Sus scrofa: one gene and its partners. The protein of the gene in region 2 interacts with the protein of the main gene of each other region in a pairwise test. Links are inferred from orthologs where the notes say so. Each region holds a gene or a part of one and is shown on either strand. Other genes may lie near its edges. The genes, in order: MIF, BNIPL and GFER.

What was found.
Region 1: the proteins of BNIPL (region 2) and MIF interact in a two-hybrid assay, tested with the Homo sapiens proteins (2 studies listed by BioGRID and IntAct). The link is inferred for Sus scrofa from reciprocal best matches to the Homo sapiens genes BNIPL and MIF.
Region 3: the proteins of BNIPL (region 2) and GFER interact in a two-hybrid assay, tested with the Homo sapiens proteins (2 studies listed by BioGRID and IntAct). The link is inferred for Sus scrofa from reciprocal best matches to the Homo sapiens genes BNIPL and GFER.

Annotation. Positions count from the first base shown.
Region 1 is NC_010456.5:49,837,546-49,843,599, forward strand, and holds MIF (macrophage migration inhibitory factor), read right to left. Parts: upstream 3,519-6,054; 5' UTR 3,473-3,518; coding exon 3,365-3,472; intron 3,198-3,364; coding exon 3,025-3,197; intron 2,943-3,024; coding exon 2,876-2,942; 3' UTR 2,758-2,875; downstream 1-2,757.
Region 2 is NC_010446.5:98,188,980-98,196,605, reverse strand, and holds the start of BNIPL (bcl-2/adenovirus E1B 19 kDa-interacting protein 2-like protein), read left to right. Parts: upstream 1-3,083; 5' UTR 3,084-3,562; coding exon 3,563-3,606; intron 3,607-4,770; coding exon 4,771-4,866; intron 4,867-5,064; coding exon 5,065-5,129; intron 5,130-5,368; coding exon 5,369-5,599; intron 5,600-7,626. Other genes in the region: PRUNE1 (protein prune homolog), read left to right, coding at 601-1,029. UniProt on the Homo sapiens protein: May be a bridge molecule between BCL2 and ARHGAP1/CDC42 in promoting cell death.
Region 3 is NC_010445.4:39,979,430-39,987,143, reverse strand, and holds GFER (FAD-linked sulfhydryl oxidase ALR), read left to right. Parts: upstream 1-2,692; 5' UTR 2,693-2,831; coding exon 2,832-3,089; intron 3,090-3,454; coding exon 3,455-3,651; intron 3,652-4,505; coding exon 4,506-4,668; 3' UTR 4,669-5,206; downstream 5,207-7,714.

The DNA of each region.
Region 1 (6,054 bases), on a different chromosome or scaffold from region 2:
AGGCTGCAAACCAGGGCAGACAGCCCAGTCTTGGCTGCCAAATAATATGGTGCCACTGGAGCGAGTGGAGAGCAGGTGGTGGTCTGGGCCCCTACCCTCTCCAACCCACACCTCCGTTGGAGATGCTTTTTAAAAATGAGTTTCTACAGCTGTCTTGAAGGATTGACTGCACCTCTATGGGTCTTGGGGCAGCCACTGGAGTTTGAAGAGGGACTGGCAGCTTGGCGGGCAGTGGAGCCCATGCTTTGGAGGAAATGGAGCTGGCTGGGAGGTGACTGGGATGGGGGACAGTATATGGCTGGAGAGTGGGGTGCAATAACTGCCCTCCTGGGCTTGCAGGGCCAAGAATGGGGGGGGGGCTGACTCACAGATGCCCCCCTTTCCCTTGGATTCCAAGGAGCCACTGCTTTTCCGATGCCCCAGCTGGCCACAGAGACTCTGGAACTGCCCAATTTGCAGAAGCAGCGAGCCATGCTTCACTCTCCCAAGCCCTTCCATCCTCCCCAACACGGCAGATGCCCAGCCTGCCTTGCCCACCTCCTGCTCCTATGAGGACACAAGTGAATGCCCTAGCTGGGGGCAACAGGGAGGGGAAATGTGAAGTCAGACCCTGGAAGGTGGCTGGCACAGCATGGGCACATCCAGGGAACCAGGACAATGTCCTCACCTGTGAAATGAGAGTTGGATGAGACACTCATGGAGACCCTCATCTCTGCTCTCATGACCACGTACAGTATAGGCCCCAAGAGGCTAAGTAAAAGTGGGACAGCGTGCAGCCTGGAGCCAGGGGAAGAGGCTCTATGCTGGGAACTGGGGGGGGGGGGGTGGAATGTGGGAGCCAAGGGGATGTGACAAAGGCCAGGGCCCAGGCAGGAGCCTGTTACGTAGCAGGTGCTCACACCCAAGAGGGAGGCCTAGCCTGCAAGCCAGGCTGAATAGGGCCAGCTTGGGCTATGCTACCCCCTCCCCCAGCACAGAGATGGACCTGAGGCTCCAGTCCCCTCACTGAGGACAGAATGAGACTGAGGAGAGTTGGAAGAAGACCTTCGTGGAATAGGAGCACCCCAAAGACGGGCCACATCCTCCAGACTCCCTGGAGCTGATTCTTCTAAGGTCACAACTGTCCCCACTGTTCTAGAAGTAAATCCTCACTGCCCAGGGAGCTGACTGGGGGCTGAGAGTACCCCCGGAGCCAGACTGCTGGACCACCCCAGAGACGGAGGGGTTGGGGTAGATGTCAGCGGATGGAGCTGACAGACTGGGCTAAGCAGCCTGGGGCCTGGGCTGTTCAGAAGGTGCCATAATCCAAGGGTAGGTGTGATCTGTCCTCTGCTACAAGCCTGGGCTGGGCTCCTGAAGCTTCCTGCCCCTGCGTAACAGGAGTTCACACTGATGCCACAGTGTGCCACACAGGCTAGGTGACTGGCAGTGGGCCCAAGGAAGGAGCCTGTGGCCACCCCAGGCTCCAGCACATGTACAGGAACAAGGTGGGCCTTATTACTGCCTATGGCTCAGAGGCAGGCCTGTTCCTCACTCCCAGCATCAGAAGGAAAGCGCTCCAGGGGCTGGGCTCAGGCGGTTACCCTCTTCCCCAGAGTCCTTCACCTTCCAAAAACGGTTCACTTCAATTCTGTGGAATTTAAAAAACCACCTCTATCTAGGATGTTCTTGTCTATCTCAGGGGCTGAGGCAGAACAAGGGGTCTCAGGTGCAGGGCCAGGGGTCCAGAGGTTAGGCCCCCAGGAACGGGGTTCATGGGGCTGGAAGAGCCTCTCTCTGCAGGCAGCTGCAATGAACTGGGCTTCTCCCACAGGGTGGGCAGTGCAGGAAGGGCAGAGCTGGCTCTTCACTTTAGCCAAGACACAGGTGCCGGCTCTGATCAAGGGACGCCAACTCCAGGCACGTTAAGTCCCCAGTGCTCAGGGCTGGGCCTCAACTTGGAGTTGCTGCGCAGGTCCATGGAGGATCTCCTGCTGTGGGGCAGTGAGGCATTCAGCCTAAAGGTGACTGGCCTGGGCAAGCAGCACCTCCTGGCTGGAGGACTGCCCAGTACCTTGTCACCACCCCACAAGGGAGCAAGGCCCTGCACTTGGAGAAAGGATCCTAAGCCAGGAAACTGTCCTATTGCACCTTGATACTGATTTTGTTCTTGATCAAATCCTCAGCGTCCTAGTGGGGTTAACTAGCCACCTGCAGGCTTTCCGGACTTGCTGCGCACTAGAAAACATGAATGGCACCCAAACTATAGGAGTATGCCCTCAGGGAACTGCTATTCCTAAGGGCCTGGGTGCCTGAAGGGAGCCCTACCCAGGCCTGGAACTGGGGTGGACAGGGCAGCATAACCAGAATCCACCTCCTGGAGCCTCTGTCCCACACTTGAAAACCATCCTAAAGTTCCAAAACAATGGGATTTCCTAAGTCAAGACACTGAAGCACCAGCTTGGCAGAGAATGACTCCTGAGGTGGAGCGGGCGCCCTCACCCGGATTTGGATTACTCCCCCTTTGCCCGCCAACCCTAGCCCACGTGGTGCCTCGGCAGGAGAGAGGGTGGGGGACAGACTATGGATTCCCGATTCGAATTTGATTCCTGGGTTGTGGCCTCTGGAAGGATGCCAACCTCAGTGGGGCCTTCTGCTGGCAAAGGGTAGGGGAAGGCGCCCCACAGCTCATTCTGGGGGCGCCCCTCCCGGCCTCGGACCCCTGTCACTGACCCGGCCCTTCACCAATTCCTCCGCTAGTCAAGGAAGCCGGAGGCAGCCATCTCCACACCGTTTATTTCTCTCTTCCGGGAGCTGGGGTCGCTAGGGGCGAGGCAGGCAGAAAACAGAGCCGGCGGCGCCAGGCCGAGAGCAAAGGAGTCTTGGGGTGCGGCCCTCAGGCGAAGGTGGAGCCGTTCCAGCCCACATTGGCCGCGTTCATGTCGTAGTAGTTGATGTAGATCCTGCGGAGAAGGAAGCGAGGCTGAGCGGGCAACTGGGCGGCCGCCGTGGCCGCGTGCTCCCCGGCCCTCGGCGCCCACGCACCTGTCCGGGCTGATGCGCAAGCGTTCGGCCAGCAGGCCGCACAGCAGCTTGCTGTAGGAACGGTTCTGCGCGCCGCCGATCTTGCCGATGCTATGCAGACTGCAAAGGGCGCACGGCTCGCTGGACCCTCCGAAGGCCATGAGCTGGTCCGGGACGACGTGCACCGCGATGTACTGCGGGGGAGGGGACGCGGTCAGTCGGCCCGGGTGACCTCGCCGGCCCAGACGCCCCCCGCCCCCGCGTCCCTTCCCCGCCCGGAGCCCCATTCCGGAATCGCCGCCCCCCCTCCCCCAACCCCAGCCTCAGCCCGGAACCGCCTCGCCCGGCCCTCGTGGCAGACCTGCGCCGGCTTGCCCATGGCCTGCACCAACTGCTGAGTCAGCTCGGAGAGGAACCCGTCCGGCACAGAGGCGCGGGGAACGTTGGTGTTTACCACGAACATCGGCATGATGGCCAGGAACAGTGGGGACCCGGAGCACAGGAACCTAACTGCGCGGTCAAGAAGCAGGGGAACCTGAGATACGTGACCGCCGCCCGGCGCCCCGCCCACTGCGACTGCGGTTCCGCCCCGTGACGTCACCGCCGGCGGAGATCCCGCCCCCGAGGCCGCGAGGCCTTCGCGACTGGTGACGTCACCGCCGGCAGAGGCCCCGCCCTCACGGCGGGACTTTGAGACCCTACTCCGCCTACCCCTGGCTGGGTGCCCCCTCCAAAGCCGTTCACCACCTCGTGGCCAGAAGTGTGCCTTTCCCTCGTTCATCAGCCCTTTTATTTAGTCACAGATATCTACTCATCTGTGTGCCAGGAGCGGGGATACTGCGGTTAGGGGGGCAGGTGGCTTCTGGCCCTCCAGGAGCTCACAGCTGGACAAGTAGATGAAGTCCAGCTCATTCTCACTGAGCCCTTGTGTGTCCTGAGTCTCTGGGGCCACTGTCCTGAGTGGACGGGTGGGCGTGCTGGTGTTCATGTGTAGGGGTGAGGCGCAGTCACTGATGCAGGTGGGAGGGGGCTACCACAAATGAGTCACCATCCAGATGCCTTCCCTATACCCCTGCTCCTCAAGGTGGGTGGGGATGCTGGGTGGTGCCCCGGGTAGGGGCAGCGAGTAGGAGGGGATGTCTGACAGAGCTCAAAGCCCACCCCAAAACTTGAGTCCCCTGGGCAATTCCTCTGATGTGTCCTCTGGGGACGCCCTCTTACAGCCTGAGTGAATTTTCTGTTTCTTCCACTAGTGGTCAGCTCAACGGGTAGCTAGTAGGTGCCAAGCATATGAAAGACATGGACTAAATACTGGGTGAATGAAGTTAGCCATGACGGGGCAGGAAGAGGTCAGGGCCAGGGATGAGCCTGCAGGCCCTGCCATTACTGGACAGAAGGGCCACCTGACCCCTGCTCTGAGGAGACCCCTGGTCAGGGGGCTGGGCTGGGGACTGGCACTCAAGGGGCATGCAGGTTTGGCCAGTCTCAGAGCTCTCCAGGAAAGCCCTGTCCTTGGTCTCTGACAGTTGTGGTCTGGTTAAGGTGGCAGAGCATGTTGCTGGCCTTGACAATGGCCATATGATGGATCAAGGCCACCAGGCTTGTGGGACCAGCTGGCCTCCAGAGGGAAGGTCTCATGGCCCAGCTGTGCCAATAACTCTGTAAAATGTGGGGCTTTCCAGGTAGGCCCAGATCACTTTCCTCCCCACTCCCACACCCAGCCGTCTTTCTGTGCTCAGGGTTCTGTTACCACTGATGCACTGATGTCTCCAGCCCAGGATGCTCCTCTGAGCTCCAGCAGCCAACTCAGCATGGCCTGCTCCCGGTGTCCACATCCAAGTGCATGACTTTTCTCCCACCTCTGATCTCCTCCCAGTGAACTGTGCCTCCCTCCACTATGCCTTTATCCTCGCCTCTCCCCCCACCCCTGATCCCACCTTAGTCTAAGTTAGCTGGCATCACTCTTGGCCTGGCCTCTCCTGGAGGAGGAGTCTGTTCCCCCTGCCTACCCAGGTAGATCTGGCCATGTGACTTGCTTTGTCCAGTGACCAGAAGTGACGCAAATGATTCCAGGCAGAAGATCCAAAAGCTAGTGCCCAGTTCCATGTTCTCTGATGTGGCAGCGGGTGACACAGAGCCTCTCCAACAAACACCTGCAATGCCCTGTGGGTGAGCCGCTATGGTTTTCAGGTTGTTACTGTGACAGAGGGGAGCCTTCCCCATCAGGACAGCCTTTGTGTACCCTCCCTTCCCAGGAGTAGTCACTGCTGTCTTTCAGGGAGGGCCTCTGAGGAGGGACTAGATTCCCAGTCCCACTTGTCACTAGCTTGGACACTTGGCTAACCTCTCTGAGCCTCAGTTTTCCTGCCTGTAACTTGGGGATGACAGTAGTGTCCATTTTACAGGGGGATGTTGTGAGGACCCAAGTGGTTTAATTACTGGTGATGGTCCCCAGTACCATCACAGTGCCCTGGGTGACCTGGTCCCCTCCTGCACTTTCCCTGATCTGCTTCAGCACCCAAAGCTCCTGGCTGGGTCAGGCCCAGTCAGGAGCCCAGCACCTGTTCTCTTCTTCCAGGCTATCACCATATTTCTGTGTGTGAGTTACTGCTTCCTTTCTAGGCTCCCTGAGCTGGGGGACTATTTCTTTTGGGCCTGGCTGCGTGCCTACCTTCTGCCCTGTTGCTCGGTAGCAGGCAGAGGGCCTCCAAGGCTGTCCATGCCCTAGTCCCCCAAACCTGTGAATGCATTACGTTACATGGCAAAAGGCACTTTGCAGATGTAATTAGGGTTACAGACCCTAAAATAGGGAGGTTATCATGGATTATCTGGGTGGTTCCGATGTAATCACAGGAGCCCTTAAAAGCAGAGAATTTTCTCCAGCTCGAGTCAAAGACAAGGCAGAAGCGGAGTCAGACTTAAAGCAGAGGGACTCAGTGTGCTGTTACTGGCTTTGAAGATGAGGGGGCCTCAGTCCTGAAGCCGCAGGGAACTGAATTCTGCTAACAGCCTGAATGAACTCGGAAGTGGGTTCCTCTCTAGTTGACCTTG
Region 2 (7,626 bases):
TAGGAGTCAAGAGTCCAGGTTCTGTTTCAGACTCTACCATCATCTACATTATTTTGTTCAGAACACTTAATTCCTTTGGGCTTTGGTTACTTATTAATAAAATGAAATATATGATCTCGAACATTTCTTCTGTTTCTAAAATACTATGTATATTAACTGATGTGCCTTTTATTGTAAGCGACAAAACCACTCTGGATGACCTAATTTAAAAAACGCTTTTTCGGAGTTCCCATCGTGGCGCAGTGGTTAACGAATCCGACTAGGAACCATGAGGTTGCGGGTTCGGTCCCTGCCCTTGCTCAGTGGGTTAACGATCTGGCGTTGCCATGAGCTGTGGTGTAGGTTGCAGACGCGGCTCAGATCCAGCGTTGCTGTGGCTCTGGCGTAGGCCGGTGGCTACAGCTCCGATTGGACCCCTAGCCTGGGAACCTCCATATGCCTCGGGAGCGGCCCAAGAAATAGCAACAACAACAACGACAAAAAGACAAAAAAAAAAAAAAAAAAAAAACGCTTTTTCTCCTCATTAGAGAAGCCTGTTACTTAGACGCCTCAGCTCTTTGCTTCACCCTCTTATATACCATCTCCCTGTCTTGTCTTTAGATCTGTGGAGTCCTGGAAAGCTCCCATTCTCCATCCCTGAAGCTGGTCCCTGTTCCAAGCACCCACCCTAACCTCCAAGCCTATCTTCAAGGCAACACCCAGGTCTCTCGAAAGAAACTTCTACCTCTGCTCCAGGAAGCCCTGTCAGCATATTTTGACTCCATGAAGAGCCCTTCAGGACAGCCTGAAACAGCGGGTGTGTCTAGGGAGCAGGTGGACAAGGAGTTGGACAGGGCAGGTAACTCCCTGATTTCTGGACTGAGTCAAGATGAGGAGGAGCCTCCACTGCCCCCAACGCCCATGAACAGCCTGGTGGACGAGTGCCCTCTGGATCAGGGGCTGCCCAAGTTCTCAGCCGAGGTCATCTTTGAGAAATGTAGTCAGATCTCGCTGTCAGAATCTACCACTGCCTCCCTTTCCAAGAAATGACTGTTGGGAGGGGAGGGGAAAGTGAGAGACGTTGCTTGAATCACCCCGAATGCATGTTCTGAGATGTTTCAGCAGTTCTGTCTTCATTGTTCTAGGATCTGGTATACTGTTCTTTTAAACCTAGGAGGAGAAAGAAGTGAAGGAAAGCTGAGCTGGCTTTCTACCTTTTCCCCACAATCTCTACCAATCAAACAGATTTTATTACTAAATTAACTCTTTAAATCTGCACTGACTCTCTTCTATTTCATTTGCTAGGGTCATAATGAAATAACATACATATTTCCAGCAGAGTTGCACAAAAGAATGTATACTCCAAAAGTGCCCTCAGTCAGGCTCTTTAATGGAACCAGTATTTCTCATAGAACCAAACATTCATTGTCTCCGTATATCCATTTTTTCTCTTGTTAGTTCAAATATTTATTGAATACAATACCTACTTTAAGCTTATTCCAGTTTTCAGCCTTCAGCTGGTTTCCACCTCCATGACTCCTCCTTCTCCCCCCAATTAGGGGATGGTGTCTGTTTCCCAGACGGCCAAATTGCTGTTCTGAGCTTATTGTGACTCTTTTGGAATTGTCTGGGAGCAGGTTAAAGGCCATTATCTTCTGTCCTGATGAGGTGGCCCAGCTCTCAGTTTCTCTGAGCTCCTCTGACCTAGAGCCACAGGCATCCCGAAGAGACACAGGAGATCCCTGCTTCTTGGAGCTCAGGAGACATCTGGGAGGGCTTTAAGGTCTGACAGGACTTCCCAGAGGACAGGAGAACTCCAGTGGGAGCCCAGCTCTGTCAACGATGTATCCGTCTAACCTCTCGTTCATCGTAAAAGGAAACATGGGGTTTCATACCAAGTACTATAAACTGTGTCTCTTGTCAGGACACTCACTCCTCTAGGTCTCACGTCCCCATCTGCAAAACTGGGGATCAGGACTAGATGCTCGCTGGTTTCTGTGATCTGCCTCTTGCCACCATCCTTTCTCAGCTCTGCTTCTCTGGAGGTTTTTTTGGTTTGTTGTTTACTTCGGTTTTCCCTGGGAATGCTCAGGGTCACTGGATTGTCTCTTTATATGTGATCGTACCAAGTACTCAGCCTTATGTAGCATGTACAGGTATAGTGACCCAGCAAAGAGCTCTCTCCCACTGACTTGTTCTGCATGTGTAGTCTCCCTTTTTTCTTCAGACCACCCTGTTCCCCCTTTTCCTACCCGACAGCTCTTTTCCCTGTAAGTTGTTACCAGTTTCGCTGATTAGTGGGGTACGTGATGGTTTGGGCATGATGTCTTCATATGAGGGGAACAGTATAACTTCCTTTGAGGAGATGATATTTGTAGCTGTTGGAAAGTAAAATAGTGGTGTGATTACTGAACCAAAGGAATTTATGTTTTGTAACTTGGGTACTTTATTTTGCATTTTGTTAAAGTATTAAATACTTTTTTCCTGTTTGGGGGTCTTGTCTCTTTTTACAACTATAATCAGGCCTTCACCTCTGATAATTGTTTTAACCTCCTCAGGATTCATTTCCCATTTTTCTGCTGTACTTACTATTCACCTTCGATTGTGTCTTTTTGGAAATAACATCTCCCCTCATCCTCAGCCTTTACCTTTTTTTTTTTTTTTTTTTTTTCCTTTGGCCACACCCAAATCATGTGGAAGTTCCAGGGCCAGCGACTGAACCAGTGCCACAGCAGTGACCTAAGCTGTAACAGTGATAACACTGGATCCTTAACCTGCTGTGCCACAAGGGAACTCCCAGCCTTTCCTTTAATTTGCTTCTTCTTCCAGAACCCTCCTTATAATGCACTTCTGTGTCCTTGGTTTTGCTTATGCTCAAAAAGTAGGCCCAGAGTGGTCTTTTTTGTTTGTTTGTTTGTTCATTTATTTTTGTCTTTTGTCTTTTTTTTTGTTGTTGTTGTTGTTGTTGCTATTTCTTGGGCCGCTCCTGCGGCATATGGAGGTTCCCAGGCCAGGGGTTGAATCGGAGCTATAGCCACCGGCCTACGCCAGAGCCACAGCAACAGGGGATCCGAGCCACGTCTGCAGCCTACACCACAGCTCACAGCAACGCCGGATCGTTAACCCACTGAGCAAGGGCAGGGACTGAACCCGCAAACTCATGGTTCCTAGTCGGATTCGTTAACCACTGCGCCATGACGGGAACTCCCCCCAGAGTGGTCTTAAAAACCGAGATGATTTCTACTGTTCCCTCTTTTTTTTAAGCAGCTTCCAGATGGTTTTAAAGGGTGTGGAAAACTGCCTCCCTAGACTCACCCAAGACTAGCCACTTTAGAAAATGTACTCTCCTCCCCAAAACCCGCCCCCACATAGGCATGGTTTTTCTTTGGGGCAAACCTGCTCCTTGGGAAGGGAGGTGGCAAAACCTGTTTGAAAGTGAGGTTACCTCCCTTCAACCCCTCCCTCCTCGGAGGCAAGAGCAACAATAGCTGAGACAGAGAAGGGTACAGAAGTTTGGGGGAGCTGGGACATCCAGCTCCTCAACCACGCCAAGCGTTTAAAGAAGACAGGAAGTCTTGTGAAGATGGGAACTCTACAAGAGGCAGGAGAAAAGACATTGGATCTTGGGTAAGTTCTTGGCTAACTTGACTGAAAACGAGGAGTGACTAATTTTGAGGGACTTTCCCACCATCCAGCTCTTACCAAGTCAAATCTCAAGTTCTTAGAGGAGGCAAAACTGTAAAAGAATTTGCAGAGAAGGGGTGGGGGTGGCTTTAGGTAGGAAAGATCCATTTGTTATGGGAATTAGGGAACAGGGGCTTCCAGGATAATTGGAATCCAGGATATTATTTTGTTTTGTTTTTGGCATCATGTGGAAGTTCCTGGGTCAAGGATTATACCTATGCCATGGCAGCAACCTGAGCTACTGCCAGTGACAAGGCCAGATACTTAACCCACTGAGCTATACGAGAACTGCCCCCCCCCTTTTTAAAGAAAGTTTCTATATTTTGCGTGTGATAAATTTACTCTTTCTTATACCCACTCTCCCGAATGGCCATTGGGAAAGCTGACCTGGAACAAAATTAGAAGTGTAGGTTCTCCTAGCCAGCTGATCTCTCTTGCTCCTTCCCTTCTTCCCCTCCCTCCATCTGTGCCATGGTGTCCCCTAACCACTCCCCAGTGTGCTGAAGGAAAGGCAGGCCTGACTAGGTGCCATCTTCCCTAACTTTGCCGAGTGACAGCTGGGCAGGTCTTTCTGGTTCCAGCCAATTGTAATGTGAAATACCTCTCGCCCCTACTGTGTGGGTGGAGCAACTGCCACACAGGTAAAAATAATTAGCTTTACCTTCCATCCCTCCTCTGCTTCTAAACCCAACAGCAGGGGTGATTGCTTGCTTGCTTGTTTTTTTTTTCTTTCTTTGCCGCCAGGCAGATATAGGATCAAATCCGAGCCGCAGTTATGACCTACTCCACTTCTGCAGCAATGCCGGATCCTTTAACCTGCTGAGCAAGGCCAAGGATCAAATCCACATTCTGGCGCTGCAGAGATGCTGCCATTCCTATTGTGCCACCATGGGAACTCCTAGGCGTGATTTCTTTCAACAAGTGGTGAAAGTGATAGAAACATCTAGGAGACAAGAGTCTGAATTCTTTTGAAGGCGTGCCCTCTGCTCTGTACCTTCATTACTGTTCTGCATTCCTGTGTTCTCACCTACTATCCAGTTCCCTCAAAACACTGCCTAATTTGTCTCATGATAATCTTTTTTTTTTTTTTTTTCCGGGGCATCTCAGGGTCAGGGAAAATGCAGAAACAGCGGTGCCAGAAGCATCCTTGAGACTTGGGGGGCTGGAGCTGCAGGAAGAATGGCAGGATGAAGAATTCCCTAGGTGAGGAAGTATGAGGGAGAGAGGCTGGGAAAAGGGAGGGCTGGTCATGGGCGGAGGTCGGGGATGGTAAATTGGCACTTGACAGAAGGTGGGGAAAAGGAAGAGGTGATACAATCATAGTGGAGAGAGAATTGATACATTGATGGCTTAATGCCTTTAGCCATTACTGCTGCCCCCTTTTCACCTTTTTCCCCCTAGATTGCTTCCTGAAGAGGCTGACCCTTCTGAAGATCCTGAGAACCCTAAAGGAGACTCACAGACGGGTAGGCGAACTAGAACCCAGGCCTCAAGTTCTTGGTTAGTTCCAGGACATGTTGGGCTACCCTGTCCCTTTGCCGTTCCACTTCCATTTTCCTAAATGGCCCCTGTGTTAGTCCTTCTTTAGAATTCACCACCTATTATCACACAAACAGAAATTCTAACCTCCGCATACACATACACACATACACACACACACACACACACACACACCCCTTTCTCTTCTTTTTTCCCCCTTCTCCAGCCCCAGGTACCCCCAGCACCTTAGCCCTGTGTGGCCAGCGCCCCATGCGTAAGCGTCTGACTGCCCCAGAGTTGCAGCTGAATCTGACAGAAGGGCCTGGAGATAATGGAGCTTCTTCCACCCACTCTGTACCTTCCTCTCCTGATGGCAGTTCTGACCTGGAGGTAGACGAATTGGAGACACCTTCAGACTCGGAGCAGCTGGACAGCGGACACGAATTTGAATGGGAAGGTGGGAAGGACAGCTGAGGACTGAGCTGGTAGAAGTAGAGGCCAGAGTTGAAGAAGCTCAAGAGGATTTAATGGGACTGAAGTTAGAACTAATAGTGGGAATCAAGAAGTTAGATCAGCAAAAGCTCCTCAGAATGGAAAGGTAGAGCCTATAGATCAAATCTGAGAGGAGTAGTGGGGACGGGGGCAGGGGGAAGAAGAGGGTGCTTTGTTTATTAAGGAAAACTTACTAAATAACAGTTATATGCTGTCACTGAGCTAGAACTGTGTTATAAGAAGATTCCTGCTGTGGCATAGCAGTGTAAGGATCCAGTGTTGCCACAGCTGTGGTGTAAGTTGCAGTTGCAGGTCGGATTCAGTCCCTGGTCCGCAGGTACAGCCAAAATAAATAAATAAATAAAATAAGATAATCCTTACCCTCAGGGAGCTCTCTGTTTAGTATGAGATAAACATATATACAGATGAGTGCAGTTAAATGTTATGACCAACACGTGTATAGGGTACAGAGTAAGTAGGGAAAAGGCAAAGGTCAGCTGGGCCTGAGATGTTAGGAAACACTTTACAGGAGTTCCCGTCGTGGCACAGTGGAAACAAATCCAACTAGGGACCATGAGGTTGTGGGTCCAATCCCTGACCTCGCTCAGTGGGTTAAGGATCTGGCGTTGCCATGAGCTGTGGTGTGGGTCCCAGACGCAGCTCGGATCCTGCGTTGCTATGGCTGTGCTATAGGCCAGCAGCTACAGCTCTGATTGGACCCCTAGCCTGGGAACCTCCATATACCGTGAGTGCAGCCCTAAAAAGCAAAAAAAAAAAAAAAAAAGAAGGAAAGAAAAAGGAAAGACATTACAGAGGAGGCAATTCTGAGCTTATCAGGTACCTGGAGAGGCATTCTAGGTGGAAGAAGCAACGTGGACAATAGCACAGCATGTTAGGGATTCAGAGTATAAAGCATGACTATTTAGATGTTAAGGAAAATTTTGTTTCTTCTCTACTCACTACCCTTTCAACACCAAATGTAGAGGTTTTCCCACACCAACCAGTTCTCCAATTCCCCTAACTGGATGGCCTACAATTCAGTGATGACACTTGACTGGAGTTCATACAGACACCGCGGGTTAAGGGCTCAACCACAAGACTGCCCCCAGACTTCAGACACTAGTCACAGGTCTGGGTTGTCACCTGTGCTTCTAACTGACAGGCTGTAAATCAGAGGTTCCCACTACCCCCTCTTCAGGCTTGATAATTTGCTACAACAGCTCATAAAACTTAAGACAGCCGTTTACTTGCTAGATTATAGGTTTATTATAAGAGGATACAGCTCAGGAACAGCCAGAAGGAAGCAACACAATGGACAAGTTATGTGGAGAGGGGTGTGGAGCTCCTCTCTGGGGGTGCATCACCCTCCCAATACCTCCACATGTTCACCAACTCAGAACCTCTTAGAACCCCTTCAGTTAGGTTTTTTTTTGTTTGTTTGTTTGTTTTCCTTTGTCTTTTTGCTATTTCTTTGCGGGCATATGGAGGTTCCCAGGCTAGGGGTCGAATTGGAGCTGTAGCTGCCAAGCCTTTGCCACAGCCACAGCCACAGCAACGCGGGATCCGAGCTAAGTCTGCAACCTACACCACAGCTCACGGCAACACCGGATCGTTAACCCACTGAGCAAGGGCAGGGACCGAACCACTGTGCCACGACGGGAACTCCATCAGTTAGTTTTTTTAAATGGAGGCTTCATATGTAGGCATGATTGATTAAATCACTGACTCTCAGTGGTTTAGCACAACCACAGTCTCTCCCCTCCTCAAAGGTCAGAGAGTGAAAGTTCCAACTCTCTGATCACCTGGCTGGTTCCCTGGCAATGAGCTATCCCTCTGGAGGAGCTTTGCAAGGTCATCTCATTATCATAAACTTGTGTGATTGAAAGGAACTTGTTACAAATAGAAGATACTACCTTCATCTTTATCAAGAGCTATTTTAGGAGCCCAGAACTAAACCAAAGTATGTTTTATATCACAGATATGAAGTTCTTG
Region 3 (7,714 bases), on a different chromosome or scaffold from region 2:
GGTGCCAAAGGCTTTAAGTGCTTTGGTGTAATCCTCTCTTTAGAGGAAAGGTCTCTCTGTGTTTTCTTCTTTAAAGGGCCGCACCCAGCGTATGGAGGTTCCCAGGCTAGAGGTCAAATAGCAGCTGTAGCTGCCAGCCTGCACCACCGCCACAGCAGCGGGAACTGAGGCATGTCTGCGACCTACACCACAGCTCACAGCAACACGGGATCCGTAATCCATTGAGTGAGGCAGGGAATGAATCCATGTCCTCATGGACAGTAGTCGGCTTCGTTAACCACTGAGCCATGATGGGAGGTCCAGGAGGAAAGGTCTCTTAACGTCCCCAAGTCACAGAGGAGGAATTTATGTTAAATGGCTATTAACTGTCAGGGGTTTTGTCTGTACGTGTTGGGGAAAGACAGACTTCACAGGCTCAGAGCATCAGTTCCCCTGCGGTGGACGGACCTGGGGCGGGATGTAGAGCATCCACCTCCAGGCACCAGCACTTGGGGGACGGGAGAGGTGGTGACTAGGACTCTGCTGGTTTGTTTTTTGTTTTCTGTTTCCGTTTGGCCACATCCATAGCATGTGAAAGTTCCTGGGCCAGGGGTCAAACCCTTCGCCACAGAAGCCACCAGAGCAGCTGCAGAGAAATGCCGAATCCTTAACCCAATGGGTCAGAATCCCCAGACAGGGTGTGCCCAGGTGCCCCGCTTCCCTGGAGGGGAGATTTTCGGAGTGCCATCCAATCCTGGCATACAGCAGTTCTTCCCACCGTGGGAGCTGCCAGCTCTGTGTTGGAACTCACCTTACCCCATGCCTATGAGGGAGGGGCCAGCCTCCAAGAGGTCCCTCCAGGGAGGCACCCTGGCCTTGACAAAAGGCCTTTGTAAGTCTGTCCAAACAGCAGCTCCCCCCAAAGCCCTCAAACTTTCCCTGGTCTTGGCACAGACAATGAACACCTGTGGATACAGACCTAATTTTTTTTTTCTTTTTTTTTTTTTTCATTTGTGGCCACCTGGTGGCAGATGGAGCTCCCAGGTCATGGATCACATATGAGCTGCAGTCTCCACCTAAGCCGCAGCTGTGGCAATGCTGGATCTCTGACCCACTGTGACAGGCCAAAGATTGACCCCAAGTCCTAGGGCTCCCAAGACGCTGCCCATCCTGTCACACCACAGCGGGAGCACCAACAGAGGCCTATTTTTGCAAAGTGCCTTCAGTCTAGCTGTCACACTCTTGCCAGTCTCAGTGGGGGCCACTAGCCTGATAGGGTACAGGGTGGGACAGACCTGTTCCTGGGAAGAGAGAGAAGTTGGAGATGGGCAGTTTGCTCACACCAGGAACCTAAAAGGATGCTAAGCACTGCCCCCCCCCATGCCAACTGACAGCCCCTGCTCCACACCGCCAGCAATCTAGACGCCCTCCACTCCTCTCTCTCTATAACCCTACCCTGACGTCTCACCTGGACAACTGCAGCAGCCCCATCCTCCCCCAAAGCCTGTACTCCTCACTTGCTCCTGTGACATCCACTCCCCAGAGGCAGCTTGGCGACTGAGATCACACCAGAGTACCAGGCCCCAAATGTCCCAGCACATTCCCAGGGTCCTTGGAATAAATTGCCAGCGCCCATGGCCATTGATGAGGTCCCTGCTGGGCCCCTGGCCACCGCTGGATCTCTTCTGCCACCACCCTACCCAGGTCCTGTCCTGCTGGCCTTCCCACCCACACAAGAAGCAAAGATCCTCCTCGGCCTTGATTGCCCTTCTCAGTGATTCCTCATTCTTCAGGCCTCCGCCTAAGCGTCACCTCCTCAAGGAGGCCTCCCGCATTTACCTCGCCCCATTCATGCCCCCGAGCATTTATTAGTGTGACACCTTTTAGATTTTTGTTGTTTCCGTCTTGACCACACTGGATTATGGGTTGGGGAGGTCAGAAACTTTCGAATCTTTCTCCCGGCACCGCCCAGCGCCTAGAGCAGCTCTGAACAGATGAGGCACTACACAAATATTTGCGGAATGAATGAATGCACAGTTGGAAGCACAGGTATCCCTGAGGCCACTCCCGACGTGGGTTTAACCGCTTCAGGCAGGCTACAGGATTCGGGAGCGGGAGGGTCCGCTCCGTGCGCGCAGCCCAAACACGCACCGCCTCCTTTGCCGGCACCGCCTCACCCCGGGTTGCCAGTCACCCGTTGCCATGGCACCCGTCGCCAGGGCGGATCCGCAGGCTCAGCCCCGGCAGCATCGCCTCTGTGCGCTCACGGCCCCGCCCCATGTTGCCACAGCACCAAGCGCCAGCTCCCAGGACGCCCCCAGCCGAGGGCATAGGGCCTAGCAGCGGGCACGCGGGACGGTCAGAGCGGAGCGATGGGGGCATCGCGGGCCACGAAACGGACGTCGCCTCAGCCGCAGCCAGAGGCTACGGCACGGCCGCGCCGCTTCCACAACACGCTGGTCTTCTACTGGAGGAAGCGGGAGCGCCGCCACGGAGGACGCAAGTCGGGCTCGGGCCGCGGAACGAGGCCCAGGGCTGCGGCCAGGACTAGGATCTCCAACCCCGCACACACGCGGGCCCGGGCCGCCGACTCCAGCTCTGCTTCTTCCGGGTCGCGGGCCGCGGCCCCCGGCTCCGCCTCCACGCCGGACACCGGCCCAGGCCCCGCCCCCGACCCCGCCCCCGGCCCCAGCTCAGGCCCCGCGCCCGCGCCCGCGCCCGCGCCCGCGCCCGCGGCCCGGGCTCCCGGCTCCTGCGGCCGCGCCCTGGCGGCGGCGCGCGCCCTGGCCTGGAGACCGACTTGGAAGCCCATCTGGAGACCGAGCTGGCCCGGCAGGCATTGCGCGGGTAACATGGCGGCCCCCGGCGAGCGGGGCCGCTTTGGCGGGAACCTCTTCTCCTTCCTGCCCGGCGGCGCGCGCTCCGAGGTGGTGGATGACCTGGTGACGGACGCGCGCGGCCGGGGCGCCGGGCGGAGAGATGCCGCCGCTTCAGCCGGGATGCCCTCCCAAGCCCCGGCCTCGGATTCTCAGGTCGCCGAGGACGCCTCCCGGAGGCGGCCCTGCCGGGCCTGCGTGGACTTCAAGTCGTGGATGCGGACGCAGCAGAAGGTGCAGATGTCGCGTGGGGTTGGGGAGGCGCCTCCTTCCCGCAGAGGCCCGCGAGCCCTGCCGACTCCTAGCCCCGGCCCGCACACCATGTTGTCAAGCGCCCCGGGCAGAGTTCCCAAGACCCAGGCGGAGCACTCCTCCAGGCCCTAAGACTTTGCCCCCTTCCCCGGGGTTGAGGGGTGGCTGTCCCAAAGCCTAGCCCTTAAGGGAGGCCGGGCCTTTCGGCCCTTAGCCACTTGTTGGCCGGACCAGCCTCCTTAGGACTTAGGACAGACAGTAGGCCTCCGGCTAGGGCAGAAAAAATGGAGCTTTGTAGGTTTCCGGCGGGGGAACGGAGCTAACCCTTGGTCGGCCTCCTTCCACAGCGGGACAGCAAGTTTAGGGAAGATTGTCCTCCAGATCGCGAGGAACTCGGCCGCCACAGCTGGGCTGTACTCCACACCCTGGCTGCTTACTACCCCGACCTGCCCACCCCAGAACAGCAGCAAGATATGGCTCAGTTGGTAAATTTATTTTCCAAGTTTTACCCATGCGAGGAGTGTGCTGAAGACATAAGGAGGAGGTAAGTTGTGTGAGTCCTGGGTACCGCAGCCAGTCCCGCCGGGAGCCTGGGCCTGGCTGATGTCATAAAGGGAAGCCTAGAGAAATAAAGGCAGAGGTGGGAGAGGGTTGCCGAGAGCAGGGGCCAGCAGCAGATGAGGGATCTTGGATCATCTCCTTTCTCCTCGAGGGCCAAGCTGCCTGGGGCTTCTTCCGCCCCAGAACTCTGGGGAGCACTTCCCTCCTGAGATGCCTTGCTTAGCACTGCTGGAGGCTCTGGCAGGTGTGGAGGGCGCCGCTTTGCTACCTGCTGGAGCAGGACTGCCAATTTCAAGACCTTGGGAACTCACTGCTTTTGCTCCCGAGAGCCCCCTTTTCTCCATTGCGGAGCCCAAGAACTGTGGTGTGGCACCCATAGGCTGGGCTGGATTTGAGGGGCAGGGCAGCCCTTGCTGTTTGAAGCCTGGGCAGTTAGAACAAAGTCTCTTACTGAGCTGAGGCAGCAGGGCCGTGGGTGCTAAGAAGCAGATCTGGTGTTCAGTTATGCCTTTGTGCAGGTTCCATCCCTTCTGTACACTGCCTGGGGCCAAGGACGCAAGGGTGTGAGGCTTCCTGATTGTTTTGAGGCCATGAAGTCGAGGTCTGTGCCTTAATGTCTGGCCCAGGGTGCTTCTTTGAGTTTGCTGAGCTCCGCGGGTGAGGGTTTGAGCAGGCCCAGGTGTCTGGCAGGTCTTGCTGCTGCAGGGGCACTCCTGGTGTAGCCTCCCCCCGGCAAAGGTGCCAGCTCTCCTCCCTGAATTGGGCAGGCAAGGAGCTGGGGGGTGGGCACAGTGGGGGCACTGCCTGCCCCCATCCTCCGCGTGCTCCCACACACAGGATATGCCGGAACCAGCCAGACACACGCACCCGGGCACACTTCACCCAGTGGCTGTGCCGCCTGCACAACGAGGTGAACCGCAAGCTGGGCAAGCCGGAGTTTGACTGCTCGCAGGTGGACGAGCGCTGGCGAGACGGATGGAAGGACGGCTCCTGTGACTAGATGCCAGCCAGCCAGAGCATGTGCGCGGCCTGACCAGAGCGTGTGGGGCTCATTATTAAAAGTACATCAGAGCCAGAGCCTGTCTTGTCTCAGTTGGGTGGTCCCCAGACCCTGCCCATGGAGCCCTCTCTCAGGTTCAGAGTAGAAGTGGGGGTGCCCCCGACGGCCTCCCCCTCAACCCAGGCCCGAGGGCGCTGAAGGAGGCCAGGGCAGCCTAGGCTGTCCCTCCCTTTCCAGATTCGGCCTCCTGCTCACCTGACACCTGCTGCCAACTTAGGAAGGTGACCAGCCTGGCAGGGCTCCTCTGTCTTGCCAGGCCAGGCCCCTGTCCCCCACCGTGTAGCTAGGGACAGCTGGCATGGCTGCAGTGTCTTTAGCCCGGGGCCTGTGCGCTGCCAGTACTTCAGGAGAGAGGCCTGGGGGCTGAGCTCTGCTGCACACCTGCCGTGCCGCATGTGGCCTTGCTCAGCTGCACCAGGCCTGTCGAAGGCTTCTGTGGAGCTTGAGACCAAAATAAAATGCTGGAGAAGTGACTGAAGACCTGCCTTCGGTGTGTTTTGTGCTGGCGCTTGCGGTGATGGACGGGCCTGCCCTCGCTGCATGTAGTCTGCTGCCTCCTCCCATCTGAGTTCTGACTCCCGAGGAAGAGGGAGCTGTGCCATCGCAAGACTGGGCCAGGCTGTTCCGCGAACAGCAAGGAGGCCTCCTTTTTTTGTGTGTGTGTGTCTTTTTTTTTGTCTTTTTTTGCTGTTTCTTGGGCCGCTCCCGCGGCATATGGAGGTTCCCAGGCTAGGGGTCAAATCGGAGCTGTAGCCTCCAGCCCATGCCAGAGCCACAGCAACGTGGGATCTGAGCCGAGTCTGCAACCTACACCACAGCTTACGGCAATGCCGGATCGTTAACCCACTGAGCAAGGGCAGGGACCGAACCTGCAACCTCATGGTTCCTAGTTGGATTCGTTAACCACTGCGCCACGACGGGAACTCCAAGGAGGCCTCCTTGCTGGGTCTGGGGGAGGAGCAGAGAGGGGAGCGAGGTCACATGGCGGCAGGTCCTCAAGACCCCAGAAAGGATGTGCTTTTAACACCTAGCTCCCACGGAAGGGTGTGGAGCAGAGGAACGGCAAGAAGTGACTTTTGAAAGGTCTCTCTGGCTGTGGAGCTGGAATGAGGCAGGCGTGGGGGAGAGCAGGGAGGACAGGCACCCATGTGGCGGCCAAGAGTGAAGCTCTGCCCCAGTCACTGGAGGATGGAGTTGCCCAGTGTATCAGTGAGGTGCAGAAGGCTGTGAGCAAAGCAGGTTTGGGGGTGACCTGGACCCAGCTTTTGGGCCGTCCTGGATCCTCTCAGCCACACCTACTCTGCCAGTTGTCAGCTCTCCGCTGGAATGGCCCAACAATAGTGTGTCCCATCCCTGTGGCCATAAAGCTCTGGCCACCTCCCCCCGTGGCGTCTCAGCTCCTCCCCGGGCAAGGGCCAACCTTTGGCACAGCTTCCTCGGCACCTGCACCCCAGAGGGTTGACACAGAGAAACAGGAGGCCAGGAGCAGCCAGCAGAGGGGTTCCTGCTCTTTTTCCTGCTCTTTTTTTAGAAGGGCGTCCCCGGCACAGGGCCTTTCCCAGGTCGCCTGCGTGCTGGGAGCTGGTGAAGCCGTGGTCAGCTCCGGAGCACACTGTCTGTATCAGTGCCCCCCACCCCCACCTCACTGCCCTTGTCCCCTACCTCTGGCTTCCCCGAAGTTTAACCTCCCAATACAGCTCTAACTTGGCTATGGACTGTTTTCCAGACCATCCAGTTGAGACAAGTGGGATCCTAGTTCAGGGGAAGGTTCTGGCTCAAGCTCTTAGCATGTAGACCAAGAGAGTGAGCAGAGAGCAGGCAGAAGAGCCCCAGCACCGTGCCCTGGGACCCCTAAGGCTCAAAGGACACAGATCCGAACAGGAGAAGGGAACCAGAAAGAGATAAGAAAGGACCCATGGGATGGGAGGAATATAAGGATGGGGTGGCATTGCAAGTGTCCCCAGGAGGATGGGGACAGGATGGCATGTGAAAGTTCCCGGGGCCAGGGATCCAAACTGCACTGCAGCTGTGGCAGTGCTGGATCCTGAACCTGCTGCACCACACAGGAACTTCCTGTAAATTTGTTTTTAAGACAGCAAAGTGGCATCTTGAGGCACGGATGTAAGCAATCAAGCAAAGAGGGACAGGGACGAGGCGTGGGACAGAGGGCGCTGTTGCCCACAGGTGAGAGGGGATGGGGCTGGATGCAAAGTGGGCGACACTTCCCGCTCTGGACTGAGCTCCCCGGGGGATGGGCCGGATACCACTGTCCACACCACACGAATGGCACAGTAGGGACCTGGGTTTGAATCTCCAGCTCTTGCACTTTCTGAGCTCAAGGAATTCAACCAGCCTGCCTCTAGAATCTGAAGATTGGGCGTAAAACACTCCCTACCTCCACGGGGCACAGTGAAAGCTCTGGCGCTGTAAATGCGCCCCAAAGGCAGGTTTTTTCTCAGTGCCCTAGGCAGAAACGGGAGGCCCCTGGGCCCCTGTTGGGCTGGCCTGTAAGGAACACGAGGGAAGGGACCCTGTCTAACCTGGGGCTGGGCCATCTGTGGCAAAGACCCCTCAGCAGGTGTTCAGGGGAAGCAAGGCACTGCTCTGCCAATCTCCTCATCTCTGGTGCTTCTCCCCTCTCCTTGGCCCAAAACTAAATATGTCGCCAAAAACTGGGGGTGGGGAGGGCTAAGTGAGAACCTTGGAATGACGATATCCAAGCCCAGGGAAAGAGCAGAGAGGCCCCAGCTCCCACCCACACCAGCCTGCCTGGACGAGTGGCCCTGAGGGCAGAAGGCACTCTCCCTCCCGGTTCGGGAGGCTGCCAGGTACAGTGGTGAAGTCAGGGAGTGCCCCAGTAACCCATCTCTGGTCTGCCAGGACCAGGGGCAGGAAGCTGAGTGAGGTCATGTCGGTTTGTCCATTGACGTGGCGACAGCAAAGGCTGAGACCAGTGTTCGCCTGCCCTGCTGACTCCTGCCTACCA